2 linked regions of the Caenorhabditis elegans genome follow. The protein of the gene in region 1 purifies or fractionates together with the protein of each later gene. This does not show direct contact. Each region holds a gene or a part of one and is shown on either strand. Other genes may lie near its edges. The genes, in order: F35D11.4 and Y54E5A.5.

Region 1 (3,113 bases):
TTTTTGGATTCGTAGCGGCCATTTCTTCGTCGATTTCTTCGAGGAATGTCTCCTGTTTCACAGAATACATTGTATACCAGTAGATTCCGATAACAACACCCAAAAGTACGGCAAATGAGATGTGATTCTTGTAATTTTTCGCGAAAATCTCCTTGACTCGCTCTTGATTCACCTGGAAATTGGGAAAGAATTAAGGAAAATTGAGGAAAAAATTAATTTTAAAAAAACCTTCTCAAACTGCTTGGCGAACCGTTTCTGTGGTCGTGGTAGATCCTCAATATCGATTGTTTCCAGCATCTCATTGTCCTTCTTTTTCTGGAAAAATTTAGCTTTTTTTATAGATTTTGTATCCAAAAAAAAAAAAAACACTTTTTTTGCAAATTTTCGGCTTTTCCGGATAAATTCACGGTTTTCAATCATTTTCCGTTAACAAATCCTTGGAAAATGGTATATTATAGATTATTAGGCTAATTTCAGAGTTTTAGCTGTTTTTTTCGGGGATCAAGTCTTTTTTTCAGTTGTAGAACTTGAAATATTCGCTGAAACTTCAAAACTGGCCTGGAAATCGATTATTTAATATTTTGAAAATTTTTTTGAAGGAAAAAAAGTCTGAAATTGCAAAAAAAACTGTCTGAATATTACAACAAAAAAAATTGAAAAAAAAAACACGAAAATTTAAAAATTAATTGAAAAATAATTTTTTAAGCCTAGAAAAATAACCTCTAAACTCTACAACTTAAATATAAACTAAATTAAATCTAAATTTATCTCCAAACTAAAGGAAAACAAAACCAGATGCGAAGCTGGCAGAGCAAAATTGTTTAGATTATATTCCAAACTTTACTTTTTTTTGTTGATTTTTTGAACTAAAATCGAATCTTGGATCGATGAATTTCACGAATTTTAGGCTTTTCCAGACGAAAAAACACTCCAAAAAATTTAAAAAAACTCACTTCAATTTGTGAGAACTTCGTCGTCTCCGTCGGCAATTTTTCCTTTGTGGCAGCTAGACGGCTCGTGCTGACAAGCCTTCGGAATGCCAGTGTCCGGCAATTGAGCACAGCGAGCATCTGATATTTATTTATTTTTTTTTTCGATTAAATTGCATTATTGTTGTCAATATCACAAGGTGTTCAAATATCAAGGGAAAATGTTTGAAGCAGCGGCATGAGATTTATATTGATTTTCATATGAAATGGGGAAATGTGTACTGAAAACTTTATGAAAAGGATAAAAAGAAAGAGGAGAAATGGATGAGTGAATGGCATTTTATATCAGAAGACACGATCTTTAGAGGAGAAAAGTGTAGGGAAAAGGTGAAAGTATTCGGTTTTTTTCATGAATTTCATAATTCCTATAATTTTCTGACAGAAAAATCAATAATTTTCTTTCACTTCCGCGTATCGAACGTGAAAACGAAACAAATTCGGGGGCATGTTTGCTTTAGAAGTCTCGCACTCGTGTGAAATGAGCTTCGGACAGAAAATCACTGATTTAATGTAAATATTCAAACATTTTTAAAAATAAATTGACTAAATTCATTGAATAATTGGAAAAAAAATTAAAAAAATCAGTACAAATCGAGGAAATCCGATGGAAAAGCAGGACGAAAAAGCATTTCATTGTTTTTGTTTCCCTGGCGCTACTTCCAAGAGGAGTACACACGAGGTGGACGAGAAAACCCTCGCGGCCGCAGTTGCCCGCGAACTTTTGAGCGTTTGAACTCTCAAACTTTTTTATCAGTTTTCAGTGACAATGAATTCAAAATCACTCTTTTCTCGAATTATTCGAAATTATTCGAAGCCTTTTCCTTTTAAGTGGATTATATTTACAAAATACACCACTAATTAAGACATTTTTCAGCAATACGATGTCGAGAAACGTGGAAATCAAGGCAAAAGTTCAAAATCTCGATGAGACGGTTCGCCGCGCCGTGGAAATTTCCGGAAAACAGCCGACTATCTTGAAGTGAGTTGAATCAGAATAGTTTTATTGGAAATCAATCATAAAAATGTTTTATTATAGGCAGCATGACATCTTTTACGAGTCACCGAATGGCCGCCTGAAGATGAGAAGCGTTGAGGAGAACGGAGTGGTAAATAATAGTTTTCTTTTTTACTTTAAAATTAAAATTTTGATTTTTCAGGCCCACACAGAGCTTATTTGGTACGATAGATCTGACGTGGCTGGCCCGAAGCTCAGTAATTTCAACAAATTCGACGTTCCATCTGAAGTTCTTGATGCTCTGAAGCTCTCCCTCCAATCCTCAATGGGAGTCAAAGGAGAGGTGAAAAAGACGAGAACTCTGGTGCTCCACGGTCAAACACGAATTCATATTGATCGCGTCGATGGGCTCGGTGATTTTATGGAGTTGGAAGTGTGCCTGTCGCCTGAAGAGACTCCAGAGCACGGAGAGAAGATAGCTCATGAGATTCGGGAGCTGCTCGCCGTGCCAGAGACCGATTTGCTCACTGGTGCCTATATGGATATGTTGAAGGCTTGAAGGCTTCAATTATTTGTTAAATTTGAATTTTTTTTTTTTTCAATAGCTCTCGGTTATATGTTGTTATTGCGGATACATAAAAGTTTATGCATCAGAAAGTTTTATATTTAATCTTGCAGGATCATAATCGCTAATCTCCACAACAACAAAAAACAATTACTTCAAAAATCTGACATCATTTTTTGTATTTTTCTCCTTCCTTTTATCGAAAACCTTATCAATAGAAATGTCATTTCAGCTTTTCGATTTTATTTTATTTTTTTTCTCTCTCTCTCTGTCTCTCTCTGTCGTTTTCCTAAAATTTCGTTGAAACAGAGAGGCTCAGACAATGAGAAAAACGCTTCACTCACTCGATTAATGTGCGAATTTGGAAGCCGGAGAGTGGAAAAAGAACGGAAACAAATAATGAATAACTGATGCCGATGTTGATTATGACTTTTTGAAAAGAAATAAAGAGGAAATTTTAGTTCAGAGATATTTTTTCATCAATTCTCACTATTTTTATGTTATTTTAACTAGTTTTACCCTAAATAATTGTGTGCAGCTTTGATTCACGTTCCCGCGATTTCTAATTTTCCAATTATCTGTGTACTGTATCCCCAAAAGTACG
Region 2 (3,633 bases), on another chromosome or scaffold:
GTATTTTTAAAACTACCGTATCTCTTTAAAATTGAAGAGTTTTATAAATATTATTGGAACACAAAAATGCGTATCAAGCAACATATTTGACGCGCAAAGTATCTCATAGCGAAAACTGCAGTAGTCATCCAAAGGATTACTGTAGAAGATATTTTGCGCGTCAGATATGTTGCGCATTACGCATTCTCAGAGTTTTTGTGCTCCCGTAATTTTTTCAGTGAAAATTGAAAAATCGAAAATCGAAATTTTTTCGATTTTTCGATACTCTGTAAAATCGAAAAATAATTTCAAAAAATTAACCATAAAATATGACTTTTTTATATAATTTTGCTTATATTTGTAAGAAAAAAACATACAAATTTCTTCTAAAAAGAAGAATAATGGCAAAATATTAAGCTAATATTTGAAAAATCTAAATTTTTTGCGAAAAATAGGAAAATCGAAAAACCGACACCCTTGCCCGTAATAGAAAACATCGCAAAAATCAATTAAACAATTAATATATACATTTTTCAGCGGTCTCTCCGACGAAATCGAGCAATATTCAGATTTTGAGAAATATCAGCTGTTAACCGAGACAAGTAGTACAATGATTGCCAGAAAAGCCCTCTCAACTCCGTCAATTTTCCGTCGGGAAGGATGTTTAGATAAATACGAAGATATTCGAAATTTTCTGGAACTCGCGTGCCAATACGACGAGTCTTACACTATGACAAAATACGTTGTTCAACGGATTCTGGGCGCCGATCAGGAATATGATCCACGTGGAAAGGCGACGGTTGCCGCCGGAAGTGTACTGCAGATTTGTAAAGCGTTTGGAATGGAGGATGTATATGATGTACGGGATTATATCTGAAAATCCGGCAATTTTCGCACTGAAAATGTGTGGAAAACACATTGAAAATCACAAAAATTCACTTGAAAATCCAATTTTATTTGAAAAATTTGATGAAAATCACAAAAAGTTAAAAGAAAAACAATATTTTCATGTATTTTCAATGGAAAATCCAAAATCCAATTTTCGTGGCTTAAATTGACTTTTCCAGTCATTTTTTGCCCTAAAATTCAATTTTCACCCAGAAAATATGCCGGAAATCGAACAAAAATTGATTTTCAAAGAATTATTCAGCTTTTCAGTTGAAAAAAAAACGTAAAACAGCAATTTTAGCGTCGAAAATTGGATTTTTCCCACTGTTCTGCAACTTTTTGCTCGAAAATTACACAAAAAATTACGGAAAAATTGGAAATTTTCAGAAATGGCGAGATGAACGAAAGAAGAAACAGAGTAAGAAGCGAGCTCGTGTTGACGATGACGGTGTTTATAATATTGAAGTCTCATTTCCATTGTAAGAATTCCTCCTAAACAAAAAACCATTAATTTTCTGCAGAAAACGCCTGAAAAACTCGGTCGGCTTCTCGCCAACGCCCAAAATGGTGCTTCACGACTATTGTGTGGAGACGAAGATCCCAAAAGCCACGTATGAGGTCGTAAAACGAGATGATAAGCGATTCGTGGCGACGGCGTGTATTGGTGACAAGAAATATCGATCAGGAATTGGACAACCGAATTTAAGAATGGCTGAGCAGGTCGCCGCGCTCGCAGCCTTACATGGAATGAATATTCGGAATCTTTTGGTTGGAAATTGGGAAGAAGAATGATGTTAAATTTGTTTTTTGCTATTTTTTTGTTAAATTATATTGAAAAATTGTTTGTTTTTGCTATAATTTGCATTTAAAATCGGTTTTATTCCATTAATTATCGAATCCCCACTGCGCGCGCGGGGATGGCAAAACGCCGTGCGGCAGTTGCAAATGGGCGGAGTTTGGAGAATTTAAAAAATATTCGAATTTATTTCGCAATTTTTAGAGATTTTCAGGCTTTTTTCAGAGTTTTCATGCGTAATTTTCACTTTAAAATGTTATTTAAGTGTGTAGGATTATAGAAATGTAATTTAATTCCGCAAATTTTGTTGAAAAACTTGGATTTTTGCAATTTTTGCAGATTTTTACATGATTTTCTTCTAATTCTCCTGTTTCAAGTCAATTTTCTCTCTAATTTTCCAAATTTTCAGGTAACAAAATGACTGACTACGGAGATGCTGATAAATACGTCAACGACGAATCGATCGAGATGGCTTGGGCGATCAAAGCCGGCGAACGGTCCGAAGTTCACATGAATCTGATAATGCGGTGTGACACTCGGGTTCTTCGGCTCAACAAGCATCAGGATGCGATTCTCGCCGCATTTCGAAGCTCATTCCCCGATTTGAATGTGGAGGAGGTGACGACGAGTTTGCTGAAAGACGGCGGAGCCAAGGAGACATGGCGCGAGTTTTGTGAGCAATTCAAGGATATCGTCGACGATTATTCAATGGGAACACTGATGAGAATTCATGCTTCGAAGGCTTACAGTCCGGAAAATACTGTGGTTGTTCCAAGAGTTAGTGGGACCCAAATTGGAAATTTTTGTGATTTTCAGCATGATTTGTAGCTAGAAATTGCAGTTTTTGCGTTTTTAGCCCAGTTTTTAGCTAGAAAACTCAGATTTTGTGATTTTCGGCATGATTTGTTGCTGGAAATTGCAGTTTTTAGCTTAAATTTTTGGGAAAACTTCAATTTCCAGCCAAAAACCCCTCATCCCTCATTTTCCCATACAAAATCGATCGATAATTAATTACAGATCATCTACCTGGCAATCGAGATGGCACGCAACGTGGAGGGTGTCAACGAGAAGAATAAGGAGGCATACACGGCTCACCGCAATTCGCTCGCCTCCTTGTAATAATTTCTCTCGTTTTTTTTTTTGAATTTTTGTTGATTTTTCCCCGTTTTCTCGTTTTCCACCCTGTCGTTTGTCTTGTAGTTTGCATATAAACCGATTTCTTCGTTTTTAAAAATGATTTATTTCCAATTTCTCGAGTTTTCCAGCTCTTTTTACTTATATTTTTGTTTATTTTTTTTCCAAAAATTGATTTTCAGATATTTTTCTCTAAGAAATGTCGATTTTGATGAATTTTTCTGTGCTAAAATTGACTTTTCAAAATTTTCTCATAGACACGTGGGATAAATGCCCTAAAACTCAATTTTAGCCTGAATAATTCGTGATTTTTGATAATTTTTCATCGGAAATCGAATGTTGGATGCTAAAAACGTTTCTTTGGCAATTTTCGAATCCCCACCGTTTTTTCTCCATTAAAATCTGGATAAGCATCTCAAAATTCATGAAAAATCACTTTTTCTGTTAAAAAGTGTTTTCTGTGATTTCTGAGCGAAATTGTCAAAAAAAAAAAGTGATTTTCGCTTCGAAAATTCGAATTCCCGAAGGAAAAACCATCAAAAACCTCTGTTTTTGAATAGAAAATGTCTAAAAATCAATAATTTCCCAATTTCTTTTCTTTCTTCTCCATAAAAATTTAATTTTCCAGAAATGTCGCTTTTCGGTACAAGTACCACGGCTCCAGCTGCTTCAACAACACCTCTTTTTGGCTCAACGGCTGCTGCTGCTCCAAAGCCTGGAGGCCTCTTCGGTGCGCCTGCTGCTGCCATGTCATCAGGGCTCTTTGGAGCATCTCAGACAGCTCCTGCACCAGCTTCTGCAGGACTTTTCGGCTCAACAACTGCTCCTACACCTGC

The links.
Region 2: the proteins of F35D11.4 (region 1) and Y54E5A.5 fractionate together in Caenorhabditis elegans (co-fractionation; one large-scale study listed by BioGRID). This does not show direct contact.

What each region holds. Positions count from the first base shown.
Region 1 is NC_003280.10:4,601,564-4,604,676, forward strand, and holds F35D11.4 (CYTH domain-containing protein), read left to right. Parts: upstream 1-1,863; 5' UTR 1,864-1,870; coding exon 1,871-1,968; intron 1,969-2,025; coding exon 2,026-2,095; intron 2,096-2,146; coding exon 2,147-2,503; 3' UTR 2,504-2,598; downstream 2,599-3,113. Other genes in the region: coa-3 (Cytochrome c oxidase assembly factor 3), read right to left, coding at 1-172, 229-315, 954-1,070.
Region 2 is NC_003279.8:14,706,315-14,709,947, reverse strand, and holds Y54E5A.5 (Polysaccharide biosynthesis domain-containing protein), read left to right. Parts: upstream 1-2,072; 5' UTR 2,073-2,080; coding exon 2,081-2,440; intron 2,441-2,680; coding exon 2,681-2,782; 3' UTR 2,783-2,889; downstream 2,890-3,633. Other genes in the region: dus-2 (DRBM domain-containing protein), read left to right, coding at 517-838, 1,255-1,346, 1,389-1,659; npp-4 (Nucleoporin p58/p45), read left to right, coding at 3,428-3,633.